4 linked regions of the Tamandua tetradactyla genome follow. The main gene of each other region encodes a partner of the protein of the gene in region 2 in a complex. Links are inferred from orthologs where the notes say so. Each region holds a gene or a part of one and is shown on either strand. Other genes may lie near its edges.

The links.
Region 1: TPRKB (region 2) and LAGE3 share a complex: the UniProt entries of both Homo sapiens proteins name them as parts of the EKC/KEOPS complex. The link is inferred for Tamandua tetradactyla from reciprocal best matches to the Homo sapiens genes TPRKB and LAGE3.
Region 3: TPRKB (region 2) and GON7 share a complex: the UniProt entries of both Homo sapiens proteins name them as parts of the EKC/KEOPS complex. The link is inferred for Tamandua tetradactyla from reciprocal best matches to the Homo sapiens genes TPRKB and GON7.
Region 4: TPRKB (region 2) and OSGEP share a complex: the UniProt entries of both Homo sapiens proteins name them as parts of the EKC/KEOPS complex. The link is inferred for Tamandua tetradactyla from reciprocal best matches to the Homo sapiens genes TPRKB and OSGEP.

What each region holds. Positions count from the first base shown.
Region 1 is NC_135353.1:6,783,726-6,790,973, forward strand, and holds LAGE3 (EKC/KEOPS complex subunit LAGE3), read right to left. Parts: upstream 2,566-7,248; coding exon 2,393-2,565; intron 1,970-2,392; coding exon 1,841-1,969; intron 1,589-1,840; coding exon 1,474-1,588; 3' UTR 523-1,473; downstream 1-522. UniProt on the Homo sapiens protein: Component of the EKC/KEOPS complex that is required for the formation of a threonylcarbamoyl group on adenosine at position 37 (t(6)A37) in tRNAs that read codons beginning with adenine.
Region 2 is NC_135343.1:47,395,033-47,402,048, forward strand, and holds the start of TPRKB (EKC/KEOPS complex subunit TPRKB), read right to left. Parts: upstream 3,005-7,016; 5' UTR 2,915-3,004; exon of another isoform or gene 2,882-2,914; intron 1-2,881. UniProt on the Homo sapiens protein: Component of the EKC/KEOPS complex that is required for the formation of a threonylcarbamoyl group on adenosine at position 37 (t(6)A37) in tRNAs that read codons beginning with adenine.
Region 3 is NC_135346.1:53,342,497-53,350,010, forward strand, and holds the start of GON7 (EKC/KEOPS complex subunit GON7), read right to left. Parts: upstream 3,010-7,514; coding exon 2,991-3,009; intron 1-2,990. UniProt on the Homo sapiens protein: Component of the EKC/KEOPS complex that is required for the formation of a threonylcarbamoyl group on adenosine at position 37 (t(6)A37) in tRNAs that read codons beginning with adenine.
Region 4 is NC_135340.1:36,231,849-36,239,486, forward strand, and holds the start of OSGEP (tRNA N6-adenosine threonylcarbamoyltransferase), read left to right. Parts: upstream 1-4,619; 5' UTR 4,620-4,861; exon of another isoform or gene 4,862-5,142; 5' UTR 5,143-5,150; coding exon 5,151-5,265; intron 5,266-6,405; coding exon 6,406-6,525; intron 6,526-6,703; coding exon 6,704-6,879; intron 6,880-7,638. Other genes in the region: PIP4P1 (type 1 phosphatidylinositol 4,5-bisphosphate 4-phosphatase), read left to right, coding at 1-17, 122-212, 1,125-1,268; DNA repair nuclease/redox regulator APEX1, read right to left, coding at 2,342-2,859, 2,990-3,182, 3,745-3,932, 4,109-4,166. UniProt on the Homo sapiens protein: Component of the EKC/KEOPS complex that is required for the formation of a threonylcarbamoyl group on adenosine at position 37 (t(6)A37) in tRNAs that read codons beginning with adenine.

The sequences.
Region 1 (7,248 bases), on a different chromosome or scaffold from region 2:
GGGGGAGGACTGAAGGCAGTTTTTAATCTTAGGGAAAAAAGAAATCCTAAGAAATGGATAGAATGTAATAGAACCACAACCACATTGAGAGGAAGCAGAGCAGATGGTGGAGTCAAAAAGCTTAATCGGCATCTGTCCATCAATGGCTAATATCTAAAAATGATGAATTAAAAAAGGAAGAGGTGGAGAGAGAGAAGGAGAGAATCATATCCTCACTGTAGCAACTACACCTGCCACACTCAGGTGAGATTCATCATCATTTTCACCATCACTTTCCCTAAAAGCAGCTCTCGTACCACCGAGCAAATCTACAAGCAGGAATGGAAAGGTTAAAACTTTTTCCAAGCACCTTGGCATCCCAGAAAAAAGTTCATGGAATACGTTTAGAAATGCAAAAATATCCAGCACCCAAGGTAAAATACATGATGTTTGGCATCCAATCCAAAATTACTAGGCATGCAAAGAAGCAGGAAACGCCAAGCCTCAATGAGGAAAGACATCAATCAACAAAAGACATCTGGATTGGAAAGGGAGTAAAAATGCCTTTATTGAAGGAAAATGTGATTGCTTATGTAGAAAATCCTATGAAATCTACAAAAGAGCCACTAAAATTATTAAGTGTATTTAGCAAGGTTGTAGAATGCAGGTATTTTAGAGGGATCTGAGCTCCTTCCCCCAACCCTTAAGGAATTGTCCTAACACTTTTCTTCACTGATCTGAAGCAAGGCCAGTAAGCCACAAAAAAATCCTAATTTAGTGTTTCTGGGCTGTTTGCTCTTCTCATACGAACTAAGTATTTTATTTTGGCATTAAGCAGACTTCTGGTGACAAAGGATGTGGAGAAACCAGAAGGGCACAATTTCTTGACAACAATTTTGTACCATAAATAGAAAATATTTAACTCAGTAATTCTACCTCCTGGGTTTTTTTTTTTTTTAATCTATCGTAAGGAAATAACTATTCATGCAAAAACTCATATATAAGCATCCTACTGAATCGTTACATATCATAGGGAAAATTGGAAATGATTTAAGTGGGCAACAATTTCATTAAAATACTTCTTTGATACACAGAACAGGTTTTCGCAGGATTTTTAGGAAGCAGAAAAGTTCACGTTAAATGAAAAAAAAAAAATCAGGAAAATAAATTTAACACTAGACTTGGCCAAAAATTATACTTGAATATCTGCATCGCAGACCCTTCCCTCGTTGCAATCCCAGACCAAAGGCATGAAAATCTGCAGGTTCAGCAGCTGAAAAAAAATACTGTTGTGACAGGAAAGAGTAGCTTGTTTTTATTTTCTGTTGGTGAAAACATTTAAGCACCAAATAAACCAAGTGGGACCCCAGCATCCTAGGGCCAGTATGCCCCCCAAATCAGGCCCTTATGGTAAAGTGGCAACTACTCTAGGAATCAAGGCCCCGGGGGGAAGGGCATACTGCCCAGGAGGGGACACCAGGTCAGGCCCCAGGCCTAGCGTGAAACGGGGGGCCCGAAGCGCTGCATTGTCCGCACCACCAGGGAAAGCTGGTCCAGAAAGTTCAGGATGGAAATTCGGAGGAGGCGGGGGTCACCGGCAGTCCACTGGCTGTGAGGGATGGAAAAGGCAAGTCCAGTTCAAGGTGGCAACTTCACCTTCCACCCGGCACCCTCAGACCCCCTGCCACCTGACCATTTAGTGGCTCCATCAGAGCACCCCCTCAGGTGGGGACAGGCCCACTGCGCCACGCCCCCTTCCTCAGACTTCCCCTGAGGGGATCTCTCTGACCCCATTACAGCACCCCAAGGCAGGGACTGGCCCTAAGGAGCAGCTCCCACCCGCGCCCCTTCTAGAACTGACACGGCCAGGGCGCTGCCAGCCACAGTGAGCTGCTTCTCAATCGCCTCCCGGTGGGGTTCGGCATCCGGGGCCAGGGAGCCGCAGGCGATCTCCGCCTCCCTGCGGGACGGGAAAGGGACACTGAGGGAGCTGGCAGGGGATCCGGTTAAGGCACCATCCTCCACTGACTTAGCCTGCGCCTCGCCTCCTGCCGCTCAAGGCCAGAACTGGCGCCCGGCCCGGTCACCCCATTAGTTCACCCCGATTGAGCCTGCTTCTCCCGCCCCCACCCGCCTCAGGCCTTCCCCTCCTCCCCTGGGGCCCCAACTCCCCCGGCGTCCACCGACCCAAGCGGCTCCCCTTTTCGATCCCTCCCCCCCGTTTCGCCGTCCTCCCCCCCTACCCCAGGCTCCCCTTTCCGTCGCCTCCCGCGTTAAACCCCTGCTCTCCTTCCCTTCTCCCCGCCTCCCGCCCCCCTGTCCTTCCCCCCGTCACCCACCCCCCAGGACCCCGTGCCGTCCCTGCCGCTCACGCCCCATCCCCATCCCAGGCCCGCCCCGTCGGCTAGGATACAATCGGTGTACTGGGCTTCCCGGCCCGGTGACCGCGGGCGTGGCGTCTCCACCCGGCCCTGGGGCGTGCGGTGTCCGCGCGACCCGAGACGCGTCACCGACCGGGCGGCCCCCCGAGGAGCCCGCGCCCTCGCGGCCCCCGGGGCCACTTGCGCCTGCGTCTTCCGCCTGCATGGTCGCCCGCCGCCGCCGCCGCCTCCCCCTCCCTCTCCCCCTCCCCCTGCGCCTCATGCTGCGGCTCCAGCGCCAGGCCCCGCCCCCTGCCCCGTGACATCATCTCTGGGCGCCTGCGCAGACAGGCTCCTGCCCGGCGCCGGGCCGGGGTCGGGCCGCGCTCTCAGCCCGGGTGCGGCTGCCCTGCGGGGCTTTGCGTGGCGCGGATGGCGCGATGTGTGGGGGGCTGTCCGGTGGGTCCCCCCCAGAGGTTGACGTCGTGCATCCCGTCCCCGTCGCCGAAGTATGTGGGGACACCACAGGGGGCCTTAAAGGGGGCCAGCGAACCGACGAGATGGGTGGTCGAGAGGGCCGCGGGGACGTGAGGCCTGCCCAGGGGCCTGAGCTGAAGTGGTGGTCGCGGGCATCTGGCTGATACCCCGAAGTCAAAAGCGGAAGGCAGAGCAAGCATCAATATAATCCCAGTGTAGCAAATGACCATATATCCGCGTAGAAACCTGGAAAACTACAGCAAAGTGTGAACAGCCATTTTCGCAGCCTGATGGGATTTATGGGTGATTTTAGTTTGCTTTTCGTGATTTTTGGCCTCCCAATTTTTTTTACAGTTAGCTTCTATGACAGAGTGACAGAATACTTAGACTGACAAGAACTTTCCAATGGTGATTGTAAGTGGTAGTTTTCTGTTTTCCTCCTTGCGATCAAAACGAAGGACCTGCAGCCAAGCTGTATTGGCATATCCCGTTGGATCTCTCTAAAAAATAGATCTGCAATCAGCCCACTCGTCTCCTCCCCACTGAGAGATGCCAGTGCCAGTCGCCATCTCTTCCCTTGTTGGTCCTACCTCCTATTCTCCGCACAGTAGAATGAGGTTTTACTTTTTAATGTGAATCACATCCTGTCATATCCCTGCTTAAAACCCTAAAACGATTTCCCATTGCCCTAGGAATCAAATCCAAACCCTTTGATGGGGCTTATAAAAGTCCAAGGTGATGTGACTCCCAGCTCCTTCTCCAGCCTCTTTCCCTACTTGCCTACTCCTAAAGTCTCCGCAGCCTCCTGGGCCCTTGCTCTGACCCTGACGGAGGTTGACCTGTTCCTGCCCGTGCCGGATTGAAAATATTATGTACCCCAGAAAAGCCATATTTTATTCCTGATTCAGTCTTGTGGGAGCAGCAGTTTCTTTTAATCCTGATTCAAAACTGTAGTTGGTAATATTGGATTAGATTATCTCCACAGAGATGGGACACATCCAGTTCTGGGGATGACTTTTGAATAGAGGGAAATGTGACTCCATCTGTTCCAGTTCTGTCTAGATTAGTTTACTGGAATCCTTTAAAAGAGGAAACATTTTGGAGAGAGAGAGAGCAAGAAAGATGGAAGCCTCAGAGCCAACAGAAATTTGCCAGCAGAGGTGACACAGATGCAGAAACGTGGTGGGCAGACATATAGATGTTAGGAGATGCTTGGAGTCCAGCAGACATCACCATGAGATGTGAAGCAAGCCAGAACCTGGAGAGAGCCAAGGGAAGCCAAGAGATGAAAGCCAGCCCCAGAGAAGCAAAGTGAGGAAACCCCACAGGAACAGAGGCTGAAAGCAACAGGAGCTCAGGAGCAAGGGACCAGCAGATGCCAGCCATGTGACTTCCCAGCTGACAGAGCTGTTCCTGACTCATTGGCCTTTCTTGAGTGAGGGTAACCTCTTGTTGTTGCCTGAATTTGGATACTTTCACTTTCTTAAACTTGCAACGCATTAAATTCCCCTTTTTAAAAGTCATTCCAGTTCTGGCATATTGCATTCTGGCAGCTTGCAAATGAACACACTGCCCCTTGCCCTTACACTTCTGTTTGGAAAATTGTCTCCAAACTGTCCCATGGCTGGCTCCTTGTCCTTAGGATATCAGCTTCAGTGTCACCTCTGAGCAGCCTTCGTGCTCACTAATCTAATACAATCCCCCCAGGCACTCTTTTTTAAAAATGTAATTTAATTTTTATTTAAAAAATATTTTTATTGAGAAATATCCACACGTACAGTCCAATTATATTATACAATCAGTGGCTCACAATATCATCACATAGTTGTGTATTCTTCACCATGATCATTTTTAGAACATTTACGCCACTCCAGAAAAAGAAATAAAGAAGGAAAAAAAAAAAGAATTCATACATTCCATACCTCTTACCCCTCCCTCTCACTGATCTCCAGTATTTCAATCCACCCATTTTTTACCCTCTATCCCCCCCTATTATTTATTATCCTTTTTTTAACTCATCTGTCCATACCCTAGATAAAAGGAGCATCAAATACAAGTTTTTCACAATCACATGGTCACATGGTAAAGGCTATATGGTTATACAATCGTCTTCAGGAATCAAGGCTACTTGCAGTACCCCACGCAAGAACTGTTTAAAAAGTTGAAAAAGTGACCAGACTTTGAGCTGATCTTGTTAGGACTAAGGTAACTCAGAATACAGGGTAAAGGATGATATCAGCCATATGTTAAAACTTCAACTTCTGTGTGAGACTAAAGGGAGAGATGTTTATTTAGTGCAAAATTTATATTTTGGGAAGTGCTTCAGATGCTGAGAGATTTCAAACAGAGCCAAGAGGTTATCCTGGCGGCTATTCTTATGCATTATATAGATAACCCTTTCTTAGTTTGTGGTGTATTGGAGTGGCTGGAGGGAAGTACTTGAAACTTGAGCTGTATTCCAGTAGCCTTGATTCTTGAAGATGACTGTATAAAGATATAACTTTTACAATGGGACTCTGTGATTGCAAAAACCTTGTGTGTGATGCTCCTTTTATCCAGGGTATGGGCAGATGAGTAAAAAAAAATATGGATAAAAATAAATAATAGAGGGTACAAAGGGTACAATAAATTGGGTAGTTGGAGATACTAGTGGTCAATGAGAAGGAGGGGTAAGGGGTATGGTATGATGACTTTATTTTTCTTTTTCTAGAGTGATGCAAATGTTCTAAAAAATGATTATGGTGATGAGTACAAAACTATGTGATGATATTGTGAGCCATTGATTGTACACCATATATGGAATGTATGCGTGTGAAAATTTCTCAATAAAAATATTTCAAAAAAGATGCCATTTCACACCAAGCAGATTGGCAAAAATTTAAGAGTATGATAATATCAAGTGTTAGTGAGTAAATCGACAATAATTCTCATACATTGCTTGTGGTAGTGTCAATTGGAATAATCAACTGGAGGCCAATTGGGCTACATAGGGGAAAAGTTGCAAATTCTCTCACCTTATAAGTCAGCAATTCAGCTTCTGTAAATATGTCATAGTGAAATCCTCATATAGGGTTATGAAGAGAACTCTATAATGGGTCAGCAATTTTTTTCTGTAAAGTCTAGATAGTAAATAATTTAGGCTTCGTGGGCTGTGTATTCTCTATCACAACTATTCAACTCTGCTGTATACCATTACATCAATATGTAAATAAATTGGAAAAAAAAATCAAGACTACCGGAACACAATTCAACACTTTCAGGTACTTCCCTCTAGCTACTCCAATGCACCATAAACTAAAAAGGGATGTCTATATAACTCATAAGAATAACCTCCAGGATAACCTCTCAACTCTGTTTGAAATTGCTTAGCCGTGGAAACTTTGTCTCAGTTCTCTCTTCCCTGTTTTGGTCAACAAGGCTTTCTCAGTCCCATGAAGCCAGGTCCCAGCTCATCCTGGGAGCTCTGTCCCACTTTGCCAGGGAGATTTACACCCCTGGGAGTCACGTAGAGGGCAGGATAGTGGGTTCATCTGCCAAGTTGACTTAGAGAGAGAGAGGCCACATCAGAGCAACAATAGAGGCTCTCTTGGGATGATTTTTCAGCATAATTCTCAGTAGGCTTAGCTTGTCCTTTGCAGGAATATGCTTCATAGGGCCAAGCCCCAAGATTGAGGGCTCAGCCTGTTGAATTGGTTGTCCCCACTGCTTGTGAGAATATCAGGAATTCCCCAGATGGGAAAGTATAATATTTTCTCCTTTCTCCCCAGTCCCCCAAGAGGAGTTTGCAAAATTTTCTTTTTATTCTCTGCCAGAATTACTTTAGGATATATTGACCCCCAGGGACTCTTGTTTTTTTGTTTTAATGTTTGGGTAAAAATATATTCCCCCCTCTTGATGTCTTGGCACTGTTGATATATGCATAGATTACCTGTCCATTACTCTCCTATCTTAACAGACACCAAATTGCCAAGCATGGTTGCTGAGTGATTACTTTCATACTTGAAAAAGTGATATGCCTCACATCAATACAATTATTTTAGTTTTCTTAAAAAAAACAAGTGGTCTAACATGCAGCTTACATATATGATAATTCTGCATTAACATTGAAAGTAGATTACACAAGTTTTAGAAAACATATCGGCTATTTTCAAACAGCAAAATGACAATGATCTATAGCTAGTTTAAGGCATATCAGCATATTTTAAAATTTAAAAATAGACAAAGTTCTAATGCTGTTTGTAGCTTAATTTTTGTTGTATTTTAAAAATTCCCTTCATACCTACATACAATCTAGACCTTATTATCAAAATTTCCATTAAAGAGTCATCACATATATGTCCTGTAAATGGAACTAGGACTTTTGGAAGCTGAGACTTGACAATTTCGGACGTTTGCAAAGGCAAACAAAGGGGTCTGAATGGACAGTTTTGGT
Region 2 (7,016 bases):
ACACTTATTAAATGCATTTTTTGGTACTGACACCTTACTGATGAATAAGGCACACTCTTACCCTAAAAAGCCTTGGGGATGGTGGGGGAGACAGGCACACAGACAAGTGAGGGGTACGCTGTGTGAGGGCATTCATGGTTTGGTGCTTATGTTCCTCCCGTTTTTCTTTGATATCATCTTTATTACAGAAAAAGCCTAGCATATACAAAAGTAGAAGAGTAGAATGAATCTCCTGGCATCCATTACCCAGGCTTCTTCTGGTTGCTTTAATAACCTATGTTCTCCTTCTCCTAAGGCCTTTGCACATGCTGTTCTCTTTGCCTGGAACATTCTCTTCCCACCTCCCCATCCATCTCCTTCGTTCAGCTCCTCCAGTTTTCAGATGAGTGGCTGAGATATTGAACTGGAAAAGTAACTTCTGAGGGGGAGGAAAGTTCATCTTGCTTTTGTTCTGTCAGTTAGTCCAGTTCAGTCCCTTGAAACTCAGTGTGTGTTCCAGACCAGCATTGCCAGGGCTCCAATCAGACCTGCTGATCATAATCTGCATTTCACAATCTTAAGAAGCCCTGTTTAGAATAAAAAAGCTCCTCTGGCTTGTTTCTAATGAAAACAGAATGTGAAGCTTATTATGCCCAACAGGACTAATATCAGTACATTAACTTTAATACTGGGCAGTTAGGGATTCTTCTAAATGCAGTATGATGGCCAGCATCCCATTTGTTTTTTTGTTGCAAGCCACAGGTCTCTAGCTACACCTTAAGCAGAGGAAAGTCAGGGGTCTCTGATGACTGATACTTTTCATTGCTTTATAAGGGTTTAATATCCAAAATATATAAAGAACTCTTACAACTCAACAATAAAAAGGCAAACAGCTCAGTTAAGAAAAAATTGGGCAAAGAATTTGAATAGACATTTCTCCAAATATATACAAATGCCTAATAAGAATATGAAAAGATACTCAACATCATTAACTATTAAGGAAATGTACATCAAAACTACAATGAGATTCTACTTCACACCAACAAGGATGGCTCTTATTTAAAAAATAACGTGTTGCTGTAGCAGGATTGTTTCCCGTTCTTTCACAGCCAATTTTTTTTTTTTTTAACATGGGCAGGCACCGGGAATCGAACCCGGGTCCTCTGGCATGGCAGGCAAGCGCCCTTGCCTGCTGAGCCATCGTGGCCCTCCCTGTTTCCTGTTCTTGATAGGATTGTAAAATGGTCCAGCTGCTGTGGAAAACAGTTTGGAAGTTCCCCAGAAAGTTAAACATAGAATTATCATATAACCCAGCAATTCTACTTCTAGGTCTATCCAAAAGAATTGAAAACAGGCACTGAAACAGATAAAAGAACACCAATATCATAGCAGGATGCCAATAGGTAGAAATAACCTAAGAGTTCACTAACAGAAGAATGGATAAACAAAATGGTGTCTATCCATATAATGGAATATTATTCAACTATAAAAAGAAATGTGTGATACATGGTACAACATGGACGAATTTTGAAGACATTATGTCAACTGAAATACGCCAGACACCAGAGGACAAAAATTAAATTTCTCTTATTTGACATACTTAGAAGAAGCACATTCTGAGACAGAATAGTGATTACCAGGGTGAGGTAAGAGGGAAAGGGAGAGTTATTGCTTAAAAGCTATGAGTTTCTGTTTAGAATGATGAAAATATTCTGGAAATATTGGTGTTAACACAATATTGCCAATGTACTTAATGTCACAGAATTGTGCTCTTAAAAACGGTTACAATGTTTTTTATGTTATGTGTATTTTACAATAAAAAGCAAAAAACAACCTGGGTATTGAAACATACAATCAATGTGGTCTCCACCATACAAAACGAAAAGATACACGCAGGAAAAAAAAAAACACACGAAGGAAACACACCAAAAGATGGCCATGTTGGGTACTGGAATTATAGGTGGCATTTACTCTCCTCTATATAGAAGAAACCATTTATGTTCCGAATTTTCTACAGTGAACATATAAAATATAATGAGTACATGGAATCAGAGGGTTAAAAACGTTCTGTGGTTTTTGTTTTTACACCAGGGGGAAAAAGAACCCTTCGGAAATCGCAAAATAGTCTGACCTTATTTACCGTAATTCAGTAATTTAGACCAGAAACAGAATCATCGTTGGCCACCTCGTTGTCAATAAGTCCCATATCTACTCCATAAAGTTCTGCCAATTTTAGCTCTTATGTATCAATTTTAATCCGTCCACTGTCACCCACTCTTGGTTTCCTTCTCTCATCTGCAAGCAGTACCTTCCCAAGAATGGTCTCTTCTTATAATCCAACCTGCGTCCGGCAGTCAAAGTACGCTTTCAAAGCGAATTCAAATCTTGTCGTTCTGCTACTCCCGTGTCAAATTCCCAAGTTTACGTCACGGTGCTCCACACTCTATAACATAGACCCGACCCGCCACTTTGCTTCCAAGCAAACCTCTCCCCTGGCCACGACCCTGACGCTACAGCCGCACGGGCCTTCTCAGCTTCAAGCCACCACGCTTTCTCCGGACTCTCGGTCTTCCCTCGCCTCTTGCTAGACTCACTCCTCCCTGCCTTCAAACTCGCTTTGAGTCCTTTCCCCATAGTGCCCAGAGTCCGGAACTGGGTTCTTAATTACACGAGCCCCTTCTTAGCCCACACCCCAACTTTAAAGAATTTCGCACTTTGTTTTATTTCTTCTCCCTAGAACGTAAGCTAATGAAAGGTAGGAGCGCTTTCGGGTGCGCTTCGGGGGCCTGGCGGCGGCAGGTACCCCAACACTGGATGAGGGAGCCAACAAGCGGCCTCCTCTGAAAAACAGAGCTGCTCCAAGTTGTATCGGGCTCCCCTGCTCCCGCACCCTCAGACCTACCCTCCCGCCTGCGCCGACGCAGGGAGGACTCACGGTAGGGTCTTCGGTGCGTCTGGAAAGATCGCCTCCTCCGAAACAAATCCTTAACTTCCGGAAGTCCGGCCGCGGCGGCGCCCAATCCCCGCCCTCCGCCAATCTGTCTCCGGGTAAGCCTGTTTACGGCGAGGCTCTGTTTTAGGATCCAGGCAGAAGGGGGTTCCTGGCCCCTGACCCGCCAGCGCCTCGGCTAATCCTTCCTCCCCAGAGTGTCTCGTTGGCGGTCTCAAGGGAGAACCGGGGCTCGTCCATGTCTTTCGGTAAGGAAGGCAGAAAGGATCCGTAAGCCCAGAAGCAGAGGTCTGGGTTGGAGTCCCGATTTTGACTCCAACCTTCCTTGGGCTTTGAATGTAATGTACTCAGTTTGATCCAGTGTAAAGGAAAGTATTGACCAAGGTGAGCTCTCCATTCGTTTCCACTGCTGAAAATTCCACCGTTCTTTTTCTGGGCAGGCGGGACTCGTTTTGCTTCTGGCTGTGGGAGCGGAGGATTCCCTGGTGAGGACCTCTCGGGATGCTTCGCCTAGTAAACTTATGACAGTACATTGAAGAAATCAAGCTCTCCCGTCGTCTTGCAGGCTCAGAAATCTCATTTGCCATCCCTGAAAATATCAGCCCCTTTAGAGGAGGTAGGTAACCCCGGTGTAGGCTGTAGAGAATTATTTTCAGTGTCGTTTCGTGGTGGAAAATCTGAACCCTTGAAGAGTGGATGTAAGCTTTACTAACAACCAAAAGCCATGTAAGGCCAGACTTAGTTGTGAAATGTATGATAAGTCGGGAGGTTACCCTGGAGGTTATTCTTATGCATTATATAGATATCCCTTTTTAGTTTATGGTGTATTGGAGTTGCAGGAGGTAAGTACCTGAAACTGTAGAGCTGTGTTCCAGTAGTCTTGATTCTTGAAGAGGATTGTAAAACGCATAACTTTTACGATGTGACTGTGCGATTATGAAAGCCTTGTGCCTGATGCTTTTGTCCGGGTATGAACAGATGAGTAAAAAAATATTATTAAAAATAAATAAATAATGGGGGGGTAAGGGGTAAAATAAATTGGGTAGATGGAATTAGTAGTGGTCAGTGAGAGGGAGGGGTAAGGGGGATGGGATGTATGGGTTTTTTCTTTTTATTTCTTTTTCTGGAGTGATGCAAATGTCTAAAAAATGATCATGGTGATGAATACACAACTGTATGAAGATATTGTGAGCCACTGATTTTATGCCATGTATGAACTGTATGTGTGTGAAGATGTCAATAAAAATATTTTAAATAAATAAATACACACCAAAAATAATCTGATAAAAGATTAGGTGTGGAGTTAGATAAAAGAAAAAATTCCTTTTCTAGTATGGCTTCCAAAGGAATTCCAAACCAATCCTCAGTAAGGCCTTCAAGGGCTTTGGCTCTATGGCCTCCATCCTCTTCTCTCACCTCATCTCCTCTTCCCAAACCTAGTGCCAAATTACGTTACAAGTTTATCTCCAAACACCACTGATGGTTCCTGGTCTTTGTCTTTCATTTCTGACTTACTGATCAGGGCCTGTAAAGATCCTACCTATCCTTTAAGGAACAATTCACCAAATAAAATGTCACCTCAGGGAGTTATCCTGGATTCTACCTCTAAATGTCTTTTTAATGGCATTTCCCCCCTTTTTGTTTTATTTATGTCTTTAATGTCTCCTCTGCCAAGTGATGATTCTTCCTCGTCTGTTTATCTTCTTGGGTGTGTACACATTTAGGCCTTACCCACAAGGGGGCATTACATACTTAATGAATGAAGGTGGACATATATACCAGTGTTTCACCTTCAGCTTTTATTCTGCATGCTCTGCTGGCTTGAACTCATTCCTCTAGCCCTTCAATTATCAGCCATAAGCTGATGGTTCCTACTGAGCCCCAGGCATGCATTCCCAGCTGTTCATAGGACATCACCAAGATGTCCTCTAGGCATCTCTACATATCTCAAAATGAATGTATTTCCCCCTACCCAAATCTTTCTCTCCCTTTACCCCATCTCAGGTTATGGCATCACACATGAAACTATCCAGATATGCAACTACAAACCTCACTTACAGCTTTTGCTATCCCACTCTTACCTCCCAAATCCACTTCACCACCAAATTCTGAAGTGTCTTGAATTTGGCCCCATCATTCCATGTGTTTATTGATGAGTGGATTTTCCCGCCTCCACTTTAGGCCTTCATCACTTCTTACCTAGGTTATTACCCTGTTATGTTGTGGTAAACATGATAGCCAATCTGCATGATTTCTAATCCTGGCTCCACCACTTACTACCTGACCCTGGGAAAATTACTTAAACCTTTCTGTGTCTTGACTATAAAATAGGGAAAAAATCCCTTAGAAGTTTTTGTGTGTGTGATTTTTATTGAAAGTAAAAAAATAAGTACAGGGATCAAAATGTACACCTCAATAAATTTTTACAAAGTATATACACCTCTGCAATCAGCATCCAAATCAAGAAAAAGAAGATTGCAAAAATTCCAGACGCTCCCTTGTCCCATTCCAGCTCCTAACCTCATTGAGTTTTGGAGGATTAAATGAGTTAATGTAAATAAAACACTTAGAACTCTGCCTGGTACATAGTAAGCACTCAGCAAGCATTAGCTATTATTGTTATTTCATCAGCCTCTCTTTGTTGTGTCTGCCTTCAGTTTATTCTCCATACTGCACATATTTAATTTTTTTGCTCTTTGATTTCCGAGATTGAAGACTACCAGAGAAGACAGTCTCTGCTATCTTTGGGGATGTTGCAATCTAAGTAGATTCAAAATGATACACAATAATATATCCTCTGTGAGTTCTTGTAGTAGTCAGGGTTCTCTAGGGAAGCAGAACCAAGAGGAGAAATCTATAAATATGAGATTTTATAAAAGTGTCTCAGGCAACTGTGGGACTGCATGAGTCCAAGTTCTGTAGGGCAAGCCTCGAGCTGGCAAGTCCAATGAAGATCTTCAATGAATTCCCCACGGGAGGCTGGCTGGCTGAAGTGGAAAGTGAGATTCTCTGTTCTGACTTCTCCTTTAAAGCCTTCAACTGATTAAATTAAATGTCCTTCTGGAAGACACACCTTAGCCACCTGTTGCTATCAGCCATAGATGCAATCAACATGCTGATGAATTAAGTCCATGAAATGTCCTCACAGCAACAGATAGGCCAGTCCTTGCTTGACCAGAAAACTAGGCACCATCACCTGGCCAAGTTGACACATGAACCTAACCATCAGAGTGTTTATGACATATTTTGCATGTATAACTTCTTGCAAGTAGTGGGGACAACCAAAGCAATAGACCGAGCCCTCAATCTTGGGGTTTATTCCTATGAAACTTATCCCCACAAAGGATAGGCTAAGCCTACTTAAAATTGGGCCTAAGAGTCATCCCCAGAGAACCTCTTTTGTTGCTCAAGTGCGGCCTCTCTCTCTCAGCCAACATGGCAAGTGAACTCACTGCCCTCCCCCTCTCTACATGGGACATAACTACCAGGGGTGTAAACCTCCCTGGCAACGTGGGACAGAAATCCTAGAATGAGCTGGGACTCAGCATCAAGGGATTGAGAAAAATTTCTCAACTGAAAGGGTGAAGAGAAAAATGAGACAACATAAATTGTCAGTGGCTGAGAGGTTTCTTTTTTTTTTTTTTTTTACATGGGCAGGCATCGGGAATCGAACCTGGGTCTCTGGCATGTCAGGTGAGAACTCTGCCACTGAGCCACCATTGCCCACCCTGCCTGAGAGATTTCAAACAGAGTTGAGAGGTTATCTTGGAGGTTATTCTTATGCATTATATAGATATCCCTTTTCAGGTTATGGTGTATTTGAGGGGCTAAAGGGAAGTACCTGAAACTGTAGAGCTGTTCTCCAGTAGCCTTGTTTCTTGAAGATGATTGTATAAAGATAGAACATTTACACTGTGACTGTGTGATTGTGAGAACCTGTGTCTGATGTTCCCTTTATCTAGGATATGGACAGATGAGTAAAAAATATGAATAAAAAATAAACAAATAATGGGGGAACAGAGGTTAAAATATATTGGGTAGATGGAAATACTAGTGGTCAATGAGAGGGAGGGGTAAGGGGTATGGT
Region 3 (7,514 bases), on a different chromosome or scaffold from region 2:
TGCAATGGGAAAGGCAAGGACCCAAGGATCGTCGTCAGTAGCCAGCTCCAGAACACCATAGTCCTTAGCAAGAAAGCATCACCTTCGGGTGGGCCACGGTGGCTCAGCAGGTAAGAATGCTTGCCTGCTAAGCCCGAGGACCTGGGTTTGATTCCCAGTGCCTGCCCATGTAAAAATAAATAAATAAGTAAATGGTTAAAAAGAAAACATTAATAGGAAGCCAGAGTATAGGTTCAAAGAAAGCATCACCTTCTTGATAACTAGATTCTGGACTTCTCCTAGCCTTAAAACCCTGAGGCAATAAATTCCCATTATTTAAATCAAACCATTATACGATATTTGTTTTTAGCAGCTAGGAAACTAAGACTGGGAAAAGAGAACAAACATCCATCCAAGTGTCCATAGCCAAAACCTAAAATTCTTAGATTCTTCCCTCTCCCACTCCTCTAACCAATCCCTAAACTCATAAATACTACCACCTATATCTCTTTTAAACCCACCCCCACACACATCCCCTCCCAGCATCCCTACTGTCAATATCTTGGTGCATCTTCATCACTGCTCGCTTGAACTAACTGGTCTTTCTGCCTTCCATCACTTCAATTCATACTGTACACATCCACCAAAGCTACCTTCCTAAACTACGGATTTGCTTATGTCACTCTTTCTATATCAAGAACAGGAGCAAAGCCCAACTCTGCAAGTGAAATCACTGCCCTCCCCCCTACATGGGACATGACATCCAGGGGTGAAAGTCTCCCTGGTGACATGGGAGAGGACTCCCAGGGATGAATCCAGACCTGGCACTGTGGGATCAACAATTCCATCCTGACCAAATGGGGGAAATGAAGTGTAATTAATAAAGTATCAGTGGCAGAGAGAGTTCAAATACAGCCTCTCTCAAATAGTCGAGAGGCTACTCTGGGAGGTTGCTCTTACACAAGCTTCCGGTAGACCTTATTATCTATCATAACCTGCCAATCCTAAAGAACACCTAGGGCAATATATAAGATTCCTCAAGGGTTCCAGGCACTAGAGAAACCTGACAGAAACCTATAACCTCCAGATGGGTCCCTAGTCCAGGTAAGTCCTGAAACCTAGCCCAGCCTCTCCAGAACATCAGATAGTTTCATCTTCCTACCCCATATTCGTGGCAGACCCTATCAATATCAAAAATTTAGAATTGCCATAACCCAAACAACCACAATGAGAGGTATGGAAAGATCAAAGGTGATGGTGGAATTATACATAGAAGATAGGACTTAAATGAATATGAATGTTGAATCATCAAATTGATATCTCTTTTATCTCCAGTATTTTAGAGCAACTAGAAGTAAAAACCTAAAATTGTGAAATTGTAACCCATGTCAAAGTCTGAAATATATTCTACAGCTAATTGGGGTGCTGTGCTTTGAAATTTATAGCTTTTTTGCATATATGTTATTGGTCACAAAAAAAGAAGGAAAAAAAGTCAATTGTGATGACAAAAAAAAAAGTATTTAAACCCTCTAGCCTCCTATATTCCGCAGCAGCTAGAAGGAAAAATATGAGAGGACCGTATGGTAGCCCATGACAAACTCTGGGATCTATCCTGTAATCACGTTTTAAAGAGTGCTTTGAAAACTATTGCTCTTTTATTTCTTTGCTTTGTATATGTTATACAATACAACAAAAAAACATTTAAAACATAAATAAATAAATAAATAAATGGGGGGGAGAGAACAGGAGCAAGAACAAGTCCCAAAGTAATGTAAACTAAAAACAAGTTCCTTTTAATAACATGATAAAATGCAGATAATATGTGTGACCAAATTAAAGATTCTAATGCATGTGTTTTCAGTAGAAAAAGGCTACAAGGAAGCAAGAAAAATACTACTGCCTTCTTAAAGTTGAAAATAAAAACATAATAGATCACAGGACTGATAAAGGCACCTTGAGGAAATCAAAAGAACACCCAGACCTTCAAGTCAAGACTGCATTCTAGCTCACTGTACTGAAGCATCTTAAAAAAGAATGCCTTAATCTAAAAGGGATTTGGAAAACAAAAGCAAGCAGAGAAGCTGAAGGAAGAGGTCTTGCCATAGGGAAAAACCACCCATTTGGATCTCAGTCTCAGTCCATCACATATCTCACTTTTCTGGTTGAGTCCATGCTAACCAAGCCACCTGTTTATAATCTGACCCGATGGGTAAAGTCTACCTACACGAAGAAAGTGTCCATTCATTTGGCTTTACTATTCAGGCCCCTCTGACTCCTATTTCTTATTTTAAAAATAATACTAATAAACTGGCATTTAAATTAGGACCTAGTAAGCAAATATGCCTATCAGCTAACAATATACTAATCATACCAACAGGGCATAAATCACTGCAAATTAACAAACTGGCACTATGGTTTTACATATAAGCCTTGTAAGCATAGTTACTGTGAGTCCAACCCTGGGAGATAAGGAGCTGCTTTTACCATAGTGACCAAATCAGATTTCAAAAGGGGCTAAACCAAGGCCAGACCTTGGATAATGGTACATTCTAAAACTGCACTCTATAATATGTTAGCCACTAATCACATGTGACTATTTAAATTAAGTAAAATTAAAAATTCAACTCCTCAGTCCTGGAGCCACATTTCAAAGTAGGTAACTATGGCTAGTGGCTACCAAATTGAACAGAGCAAATTCTGCACATTTCTATCATCACAGAAAGCTCTATTGGACAGCACTGTTTTGGAAGATAACCTTAAACAAGTCCTGTGAGTCCTCTTGGGAAACAATCTGATAGATAGCCCTGGATGGCTCCCTGAGAAGTAGACTATTTGTTTTCTAAATAAAGTAAGAAATAAATATTCAACAATTATTCCCTTTCCCTTGATTTCTTGAAATCCAAATATATAGTAAGTCTTCAGAATTTCTGCCCCTCTATTACTGGATGATACTCTAAACTAGAGGCAGTATAGCACAGAGGGTAGAAGTACATTCTGTGAATCCAGATTGCCTGGTTCATATTTCGTCATTGTCCGTTACTAGATATGTGACCGTGAAGCATATTATTTCACTAATCTATCTTTCAGTTTCCTCATCTATAAAGTGGGAAAAAAACAGTACCTATCACACCATGTTACTATAAGGATAAAATCAGTTTATACCTATAAAATGCCTAGAATAGTATTCGGTAGATTAAGTGCCCAATAAGTATTAGGTGTTTAATCGTTTACTACTACTACTACTACTACTACTACTATTGCCACTACCACCACTTTGACAGTACTCCAGATGAAAAATGCTCAACTAGGAGAAATATTAGCAAATATTAAGGAATTAAGTTAAAGCAAGGATACAAAGTCAGAATGTTAGTCTATGATATAAAATTTAAGAAGTAAAAAATAATTAAGATTAAAGGAAGGGGGTGAAATGGAAAGATTATTAAATAGCAAGGAAAAGTCATGTTTTCAAGGAAGAGTTGCCAGGAAGTCTTACCAGTAAGGCTAGCAAACCACAAGTCAAAAGAAGTCTACAAAATGAGCTACTATGCTATTAAAATAACCAATAAATACAAAGGAGGAACTGAAAGACACAAGTTCAAGTTCACTACACCAAATTATACTTCCCATGTACTGACACCCAAACGCATTACCTCCCCTGTGCTCCCAAAGTTACCTCCATGTTCACTTGATGAACTGACTGAAGATCTTCTGATTTTTCATTTTAAGCAGAGCACCAGACATTATACCATGTCAACCCCATGCCAAACAATGGCCTAGCATGTGTTCTTCAAGTGGAAACTATTTTAGGTAACTGCATATTGCTCTTGCAGATTGGCAATTTGAAAATCCAGAAGATCAAATACAAACTTCAGCATAGGTAGTAAAATGGAAAGTATGGAGCATTAGGAAAACACAGACCCAAGCTTAAAACTTTACTCAAATGTACGGCCCTGGGCAACTTAACGCTTATGAGATTCATTTCACTCATCTCTAAAATGCAGGTAAAGCATTTTGCCAATTAAATATGAAATACATGTAAAGGGCCTACAACAGTGTCTAGCACATAGCAGATGTTCAATAAATGGGTGCGACATACCATCAGTAAATCTTTCTGAAAAGACCCTCTAAGAGTCCTAAGAATAAAAGCCTACTACTCTATATGCTAGTAGTCTTGATCAGATAGCAACTATAAATTTTGGCCAGATATCAACTATAAATAATGTGCGATAGTGCCTCAAAATTACAAGATGTTTTCCATATTTTATAAGATATTTCCCAAATAAAATATCCATTTTACTGTATCCCCTATTAGACTATGTCTATAAACCATTTGAGCCTACTATAAAAAATAACTTTACTCCTACACTGAAACAAAGTGTGTACCAGCAAATCTGCCACGTACACCTTCACAACTCCACACCCAAACATGAACACTAGGCACAAATATCTAAGATTTTTTCCTTTCCCTATTAACGGAAAAGAAAAGAACTTTTAAGTTTCTTCTCAGTGAGCTAAGTTCCACAAGCATTACGGTACAGGGTAAATGCTTACCTGGAAAATATTTTGTACTTCAGATCCACCAATCCAGAATGAATGGGTGTATTCCCTTTCAGACTAGTCTGAGAAAAGACAGCAGTCAAGCATCTTCCAAGATTCTTTCCGTTTACTGTATCCAGCTTTCTTCAACAAAATCCCAAACATGCACTTCGGCAACTGTTGAAAGACAGAAAGCAATCCATACACCCACCATGGCACCAGCGGCAAAGGACAGCCACCAAGAAATGGAAGGGTCTGAGGAATGGTGGATCTGAGGCACAGAAAAGAAGTTACAATCCCTGAGTCAACCACTTGGCATAAAAGTTCTGTGTTCATATTCCTCACCTCTATGTTGAGAGGACAGGAAAACCTGCACAGCAAAGAATGAAACATCCCTAATATTAACATTTACTCATAATAAATAACATGCAATTTCCAAATGAGAGAAGCTAAAAACTTACCCTACCATCCATATAAACTGTCCCAGACCATTTACCTACAATGAACTTCCTTTTCCATTTCCTAAGAAAACTCCTCCACTATTTCAAAAATAGTTTGTCAGCCAAAATTAATATGGGAGTACTCAAAAGTCTACCAAAAGAGATATTTATGCTATTTAAATAAACACCTAACAAGAAATACTTAATGAAATCTTTTAGTTTGCTACATACAAAACTTCACTTCTACATACTATCCAAATCCTCTCCCCTGAGATGAAATATAGGACATCTTGAAACACCTGATATAATACTCGAGAGAACTTCAGATTCAATAAAGGCCAATCCCCTACAATAGCCAGTCACTAGGTAAACCAGGGAAAATAATAAAAAACACTAATTTTACTAGGAGACACCTTTAAATACATAAACACAGTCCACAATAAATCCACATTTTCTGCCATGCCAAATTTTATAATTCGTAAAATTCTAAACAGTAAGGAAAAGGAAAAAAAGCATTCAACAGACATATAAATTGGAAAATTTTATATAAAAAGACTGTGAACTTATTTACACATTAATTTGCTACTTCCTCTATTACACACTACGGCCAAAATGCCCGGCAATAATTATAATAATGTCTACCTTTACTGAAGACTACTAAAATACTAATTAACCAGGCCCTTTACATCCACTACTCCTATTAATTCTCAAAAGAAAATAGAAGGCAAAAAATAGCTTGCTCAAAGTCCCACATCTACGAGGTGGTAGAGGAGCCCAAAAAGCCCTTTTCACAGATCACTACTACCTCCAAACTCAAGAATCAAGTCAGAAAAGGCACGCATGATTCCTGGGTCAGAAAAAAAAAAACCAAGCTTTTCTCTGAAAGGTCCCAGGTTAATCAACATTGGAATGGAGAACTACAAAAATACCTACTGAAGTACCTATTTCAACCTGGCTGAACTACAACACAACTGAAAAGTTCAGCCATTCTTAAAGAGCTAACTTTGTACATCTGGCTTAAAGTACTTCACTAACAAAGAGCCATGCAATTCTAAGGTCTACAATACTAACGTTACAATGAAACACACTGCAATGATACTTAAGTACTCTTTGTATTTAACAACAAAGATTGTGTCCATGACAATCTAAAATACAACTGAAACCAACTGGGTAATTTTTAAATTCCAAAATTTGGTAATACATAGGCAATGACTAAAGATGCTCTCTGGTTTTTCATGTTGTAGGTAAAGCAACTGAAGTGACTAAAATACCAGCCTATGATGATTGACCTTACCACAACAACTAGATGGTAATATTTAAACACCCGCAACTTCAGCAATCATGTAAGTAAAATCTCAAGCAAATAATGAGTGCTCAAGATTTTCCCATTAAGTGCTATTACTCTGGCGCCTAAGAGTAAACCCAATTTTGCCAAAAGTAGCAAGTGAGCTGTGTCTACTACTTAACTGCTAAAGCAATATTCTACTTTTCAATGGCTAACTTTCTCTTACAGCCAAAATGCAAAACAAGTTATAATAAAATGCAACAACTTAACTAATGGACCCACATCTGGACCTCTTAAATCCTTAGGCCCTTTTCCTGTACTAGTGGCTCTAATTTTCAACCTTCACTTCAAATAAACACTTATGGAATAGCTAATATGTGGTAGGCCTTAAGCTAGAGACACACAAAAATTAATAGATATCCGACTAGGAGTGTCATTTCACAGAACAAAAGATATTTTATTACTGGTTCCCAAGACAGTTAAATGATCTCAATTTAACCCTAAATAAATAAATACTCAAGTTCCTTTTTCTTAAGAGTACAGCCCTCACTTGATTTTTCTTTTTCAACTGCATCGGAGGCTATTAGAAAATGGTTCTCTACATTCATTACACTTACATTTGCACATCTCACAATAAAACTTTTCTTTCAATTTTTCATGTTAGTGTCCACTGTTACTACTTCACAGTTTTCCATTCTGTTAAGGTTTTCATTGTTGACTAACCCTGAAAGGGAATTTCCTAAAAAACTTCCTGCTGACATCACAGAACTCTGCAATCTTTGAGTTTTGTTAAAGAACAATAATACACTATAGGCTAGAGATATCCTACTGGATTACCAGGTCTTCCTGGTCTGCCTCATTTGCCTACAAAGACAAACTTCCTGTTAGGCAATTGTGATCAGCAGAAACTTGATAGAAGGTAACATGCACACACTTGACCAACAGGTTTTGTCCCCCTTTGTCAACTAATTCAGTGAACACAACAATAAAACTCAGGAGGAAATCTCATATCAATATTCACTGCTTATTCTGTTAAGGTTTGAATTCATCAGCTTTGCTAAAACAAGAATAAGAATTCAAAAACCATCATTTCTCAGGTTAAACTAAATCACTCAAATATAACTTACAAGACTCAATGCAAATATCAACTAATGGCCAGTCTTTCCTCCAGGATACTTAAAAGAGGGCTTAGCACAAGTCTAATTATGTTAAATTGGTAATTCTTAGTAATTTTAACAGTACCTCCCAGATTTTCCAATACAATGCTGATTCTG
Region 4 (7,638 bases), on a different chromosome or scaffold from region 2:
CCTCACTGCAGGAAAGTGTAAGTGATTAGAAAGTGGCATTATTTAGCTGGTAATAGGATAATGTGTGAAATAAAAACTGTGGAGTCATCACAAGTATCTGTTCCTGTTTGTCTCCCTTTAGGTCTTCTATTGGGCGGAGATATCCACGAAAGAGATGTATCTGCTGCTTCTTGCTTGGCTTACTCTTGGCAGTCACTGCCACTGGCCTTGCTGTGAGTAATCATGACCCAGCCTCTTTCATTCTTCCTGGTTATCTCTTCCTCAGCCTCTTCTCCTAAGATTTGAGAAATGGCACCCCAAAAAAAGGTTCAAGAAACTGAGGAGTTTTTGTTTGTTTTTTTTCTAACACATATAGGAGCTGAAGTTGAAGGCAACTGATATAGTCTTCACTGTTACTATAGAAGTAAAAAAGTTAAAAGAAAAGCAAAAACATTCTCTCTCTGCAGAGGACAGAAAAATGAAGAAGTGACTTGAATTAAGAGTTGCTATTAGGAAATCTGGCTCAATCGTGAGACATTAAGAAAAACTGATAGATGTCTGTTTGAGATGGTATATGAGTATGTTCCTGCTTAGAAGGGGCTGAGCAGCCTAACCTTTAAAAAGGTCCCCAAGGTATTGAGAAAAACCCTAGAATGAGCTGAGACTCAGCATCAAGGGATTGAGAAAACATTCTCGACCAAAAGGGGGGGAAGAGTGAAATGAGACAAAGTATCAATGGCTAAAAGATTTCACACAGATTCAAGAGGTTATCCTTAAGTAGATATCACCTTGTTATTCAAGATGTAATGGAGAGGCTGGAGGGAACTGCCTGAAAATGTAGAGCTGTGTTCCAGTAGCCATGTGTCTTGATGATTGTATAACGATATAGCTTTCACAATGTGACTGTGTGATTGTGAAAACCTTGTGTCTGATGCTCCTTTTATCTATCTTGTCAACAGACCAGAAGAACATATGGAATAAAAATAAATAATAGGGGGGAAAAGAAAAGGTCCCCAAGGGTGGTTGGTTATGTGTGGATAGGAAATGAGATATGAAGTTTGAGTTTTTGTGTCACTGTTTTTAGGGCTCTTCAGGAAGTAGTGGGAACTCAGTACTAACCTCATCTTTTTTCTTATCTTCATCAGTTTGGCACGTGGAAGCATGCACAACGATATGGAGGTATCTATGCAGGCTGGGCCTTTGTCATCCTGCTGGCTGTGCTGTGTTTGGGCCGGGCTCTCTATTGGGCCTGCATGAAGGTCAGCCACCCTGTCCAGAACTTCTCCTGAGCCCCATGATGACCCACAGACTGTCTGGCCCCTCCCTGGTGGGGACAGTGACACTACAAAGGGAGCTGGGGGTAAAAGGCTCCCTGGGCTTCCATTAAGTGGAGCCAAGCAGCTGCCTTCCTTTTCCCAGGGGAGAGGTAGGAAGGAACCAGGCCCTCACTTAGGTTTGGAGGGATAGATTAGACCGCTGCTGGCCATCTGCTCTCCAAGGGTTGCTGTGTTTAGGGTGAAGTAGGTGAAATGTTGCCCCTAAACCTGGAATATGACGGTTCTAGCCTTATCCTTCCTATGTGCTCCCTGAGAGCCATTCCTGTCCCTTACACATTCCAGGGCAGGGTGGGGGTGGGTAGCGCTGGGGGTTTCCCTCCCTCTTGTGCACCATTAGGACCTTGCTGCTGCTATTGCACTTCACCAGGGGCTGGCTCTGGCCTCAGTACGCTCAGTCTCCTCTCCCCACATTCCATGTCCTGTGGGGGTATGGTCAGCCGCTGCTCTGTACTGAACCACGGGAACTGAGGTGTATATAACTATTTAATGTGGGGTATGGTCCCCTAGTCCTGTATTTCCCTTAATTCATCCTTCCAACCTTCTTTACCCTCCAGTTGTAGTATCTAACTGGGCTGGGTAGGATTGCTCTGTCTTGGGGGAGGTTAAGGACTCATCCTGTGCTTGTAAATAAATAAGGTCATGACTCCACTCCTCTCCAGTTGTTAACTTGCATGTATGAAAAGACAGGGAGAAGGAGAAGTTGTAGCCTTACAAAGGGGTAGAACACAAACACAGCAAGGCTGAAACAATGGCTGTTTATTTTTACTTTGGCTATTTAGTTTTACATGGACAGGTCAAATGGACAGGTCAAAGGGTATATCAGTAACTTGCTTAATGTTAAAAGAACACACACAAAACTAAAACCTTGGGCTTACTCAATCTTGCACTATGAGCCTGGATAGAAGATTCAGATTATTTTAGAAAGGAAGGGAATACAGTGCAGATTTCTCTAGCGAGAAATATTTTTAAAGAAATGCTAGTTTGGAGGACTCGTTTTCCAGGCTGAGTGATTTTAGGAGGAAGTGTCACAGTGCTAGGAATAGCGTGATAGGACAGTGATCACTGCCCAGGGCCTTGGAACGGATCTTGCTGTCACACAATGCAGGTAACAGTGAGTGGGACAACAAAAAGTAATCAAGGCGCCAGCCAACGTTCTTGGATCGAGCATTCATCATGTAGGTCCAAAAAGTGTAAGCATAGGCAGTGTTTGGGTAGAGGTGCCGGAAGCTGTCAGCCAATGGCACAGCCTGCAGCAAATCCCCAAAGCCTTGGCGCTCTTGTGGGGTGAAGCCAGCATTCTTTTTGTTTCCCTTGGGGTTGCGAAGGTCAATCTCTTCATGAGCCACATTGAGGTCCCCACACAGCACGAGAGGCTTGCGGGAGGCTAAGTCCTTTAGGAATTTGCGAAAGGCTTCATCCCAGCGCTGCCGGTATTCCAGCCGCACCAGACCCCGCCCCGCATTGGGTACATAAGCTGTTACCAGCACAAATGCATCAAATTCAGCCACGATCACACGACCTTCCTGATCATGTTCTTCCTCACCTACAGAAATGATGAAACAATTAGAATAAAGTATAAGTAAAGGAAAAGTAGAGAATGAAAGGAATCAAGAGTTAGGGCAGGAGAGAGGTATTAGCAATGGCTTAAAAGCACTCAGATACTAGTGTCTCACCTATGCCATAAGAAACTTTGAGTGGGCACTGGCGGGAAAGTAGACCCACACCACTGTAGCCTTCCTTGTCTGAAGGTGCTGACCAGTACTGATGGGATAATCCAGGCAAGTCCTGAAGTTCAGTGGGTAGTTTGTTCTCTGAACATTTGGTCTCTTGGAGGCACAGGATATCTGGGGCTTCTTCTTTTACCCACTGTGAACCAAAAAAAGGCAGAAAAAGTTTATCGATACAGCAGCCATTTTTGAAAATCTGCATGCTAAGTACTTAGAATTCACAGGTGAGACAGTTCCTTTGTATAGAGTTTGAATAGTTCAGCAGTACAATATTTAAACAACTACAAAATGTTAAATATTATAACAACAGACAACTAAGAAGAGAGAAAATAAGAGAAGGCCTTAGATGTTACACCAAAGACCATGTTTTTTTCTATAGGTTGTACATAGCCAGCTAAGATTTTTAAGACTTAGTTATAGGTATGGAGAATATGCTGGAGACAAAATGGAAGAAGTCTAGTGAAGAGGCTTTTATAAAATTCTGGGGGAGAGATGACATGAAACAAGACAATTGCTGTGGAAATGAGGGAATTTCCACACTGAGGAAACACAAGTGGCAAGACTCTAAAGCCCCCATTATACAACCCCACAATCAAATACAAACAAGGGAAAAATAAAACCTTCACTAAAATGAAAGGTGATTAGATCCCACATCATTTAATACATGAGAATGCTTGTTTCCCTCCCTGAATTCCACTCACATCTAAACCTTTCTTCTTAATCCAGGCTCGAAGCCCATCCACATTCCAAGAGCAGATCTTGATTGTGGCAGGTTTGCCACTAGGTGAGGTTTTCCGATCTGGGGGATCCTCATACAGGGCTGGCCCCTCTCCTGCTGCCTCTTTTTCGCTTTTCTTTGCCCCCGTCTTACTCTTTTTGGTCTCTGGCTCTATAAAATGAGTTATACATAGGGATAAAAGTTGGTGGTTTTCACTTTGATCAGGCCCTCAGAGAGCTTGCAGCTATCGCGATTTCAAATTCACTGGTAAAATATAATGACTTGGTCCGTACTTCCTCTTCATCGAGGACAGCCTACCGCAGCCCCCCGGAGTTGTGTTCTCTTACCCATCTTCGGCACTTCTCCATCTTCTGCCACCGATTCCTTTTTACCACGCTTCGGCATCTCTAAAACGAAAGCCCTTCGGCAAATTACCCACCGAAGCAAGATTTCTACCGCGTTGCCTACAGACACAAAGAAATCGTGTAACCAGCTAAGGATGGTGAAGAAGAGAATTCTCCCGCCGGCGTCCCCGCATCAGACTCCACCTTTCCTAACAACAGTATCTCTGAATCCTTTCCCCGCCTCTCTGCATCACAGGCCCTTCTCCCAGCTCCTCACCTACGGACTAGATAGTTTAATAATACTTAGGCACCTCCTCGCAAGATATGCCCTCCGGTCAATGAAGGACCTTAATTATGAGCCTTGACTCAGACTGGCTGGTCAGACCTCCAGCGAAGACCTTAAAAGCAAAAGAGCGCCCGGGTATCTGACCTGCTCGGGTCACAGCCAGGCTCCTCCTTACCCGAGCACAAAGAATGGAGAACGCTGTGCCCCCACGTGGGTAACTGGCATAGTCACGTTGTCTGAGATTTGCATCACGTGGCCGAGGGATGCGGCTGATTGGCCTGCCTCGCAGCACGTGACGGTGAAGCGCGGCCCGCCCGCCCTTCTCTCCAGAGGACTGAAGGTCCCAACCCTCCATTTTCGGGCTGTTTATTGCTTTGCCAGGTGCACGACTCACTCTGATGCCCTGGCCGAAGATTACAGCGTCGTACAAGAGAAAACGATAAGTGGAGAAGGCTAGGCTGAAAAAAGAGGTGGGGGAATGGATAGGAATGTGCTGAGCAAATTCCGGCTCAGTATTCCTGGCAGTTCGGAGGACAGGGCCTTGGGGGGGCCTTGACGGGTTTCCGTGACGACGGGGTCGAAGGCTGCTTCGGCGGTCCAGTTGGGATTTCTCTGGGCTGTGTTGCGGTGCACAGTGTTTTTAACAGCCGCGCGCGCGTTCTTTTCGTCTCCACTCCGGAATTTGCGGGCCAGCAGGGACGGTTGAGGGGCTCCATAAGTCGCCGGGAACACTGCCAGCATTTCCTCTCAGGCTCAGCCATGCCGGTGGTGCTGGGTTTTGAAGGCAGCGCGAACAAGATTGGCGTGGGAGTGGTGCGGGATGGCACGGTGCTAGCGAACCCGCGACGGACTTACGTCACGCCTCCGGGCACAGGTGAGTGAGTAGGGGGCTTAGAGTTTACCGCGAACTTGCCGCACTACATCGCCTTCCATCTTCACAAACGCCAGTCAGGTGGGGCGCGTTGTCCTTTTCCTACAGCTTTTGATCTGAGGCTCATTGGGATTATGTGACAGTCTTAAAATACCAGGATGGTGGGTGAAAAAGAGACACAGGCACTCGGACCTGGATCTTCTGACTTTGTCAGCGTTTATTGAGCGCTTTTTATGTGCTCAGCATTAGCTGGCTCCTGGATAGATGTCATAATTCTGATTAGTCTGACGTAAAACTGAATGTTTACATTACAGCATTATAAATGGTAAAATACAGACGCAATAAAATTCTAGAATTGGAGAGGAGATGAGTGGAAAGACTTCCAACTTAAGTGTCAGACAGAACTGACTGGCTTTATGATACTTATGTTCAGTGTTCATGTTCTTGGAATTCTATTCCTTCCTCTTATGGGAATAATACCTGTATCTTTGGGTCTTGAGAATTAAATGAATGAAAGTGCCTGATACATTTTAACTTTTCATAAATATTCTTTGCAAACTATTCTCAGATCTCACTTACCATCCCCCAGTTCACCTTCACATATGTTTGTAGCTGAAAAGCTTTGCTGAAAGATGGTGCAACAGATTACTCGTTAGAAATTTATTTATTTATGTCTAGGACTCATTGTTGGAGGCACTTGGGCACTGGAAATACAAAGTTGATAAAATAGCTGAATATTTGAGATACTTAGGGTTATTTGGGGGAAACTGCAAATAAGGATGATGCTCTAATTGGTGTGTTAAAATACAGTGTGTTAAATGCAGTTGTGTAATCATGTATAGGGTTCTGTAGCATCACAGAGGGACATCACCAAACTTTATGGGGTAGGTAAATTTGCAGTGAGTCCTGAAAGCTGAGGAGGAGTTCTCTGAAGAAAGGCATTTCCAGGAGCTGAGCAGCCTACATAAAGGCTGGAATCTGTGAAAGAGTATGTCTGAAATCCTAGAAGATGGATGGTTAAGGAATATGAAAGGGACACTTTCTATTAATTCCTACATGAATACAACTTCTTTTTTGTAGTTCTGCCTACCTTTGCTACAGTAAAAACACCCTATGATCTCTGACCTAGTTTTCATCTCTTAGGATTCCTCCCAGGTGATACTGCCAGACATCACCGAGCCGTTGTCTTGGACCTGCTGCAGGAGGCATTAACGGAAGCCAGATTAACCTCCCAGGATATTGACTGTGTTGCCTACACTAAGGGTATGAATGAGAGAGTAGCTAACCATGGAAGACCATACATGGAGCCTGGCTAGATAAAACAGCCTGTACCTCGCTTCTACTGTCACCACCCCTACCCTACCTCTTACATCCCATATTCCCACCACCCCTATTTATCCCAATCTCTATAGGATTTTAACACCCATTTCTACTTCCCTAGGTCCAGGCATGGGTGCCCCCCTGGCTTCTGTGGCAGTTGTTGCCCGTACTGTGGCCCAGCTGTGGAATAAGCCATTGCTGGGTGTGAACCACTGTATAGGCCACATTGAGATGGGCCGCCTCATCACTGGAGCCACCAGCCCAACTGTACTCTATGTCAGTGGAGGAAATACCCAGGTGTTTAGAGCATTCTATCCATTCTTATTTCTAAGGTACCATACCAACAACTTCCAAGTTCTACCTAAGTAGTGAGAACTGCAAGAACAAAGCTCAGGTCATCTGAATCTAAGATGTTGTATACCAAAAAACCCATGGTAGAGTTTATGACGTTGCAGATTTGGTCAGGACAATCAGAACACTAGATAACTTTTCAATATGTAAATATTAATAATCTCCAGTGAGTAAAAGGAAGGAGGTAAGGAATGATGCCTTCAAAATAATGAAAGGAATTTTGTAAATTTGAACTTTATTCTTTTTATAAATTTTAGCAATTAAAACAAAGGGGTAAAAAAAAACAAAGGGGCACAACTCTTTTTATAGGTTAATTGAATGTTTTGCTTTGTATTATTGGTAAATACATAAAATTTGTTATTCTAAGAGTGTGGAAATATTAATAACTTTTGAAAGCATTTTACTGTCTGTTCTCTGATATATTATGTGAAATAACTAGAATGTGCAAATTCGTAGAGACAGAAGAATGATGATGGGGCCCCAAGGGTGGGTTTGGGATTGGGGAGTTAATACTGAATGGATATAGAGTTTCTGTTTGGGGTGATGGAAGAATTTTTTTTTTTTTTTTTTTTTAAGGGAAACATTTTTTTTTTAAACATTTTCTTGTTTTATTATATTTTGTTTGTTTGTTTGTTTTTTACATGGGCTGGGGCCGGGAATCGAACCGGGGTCCTCCGGCACGGCAGGCAAGCACTCTTGCCCGCT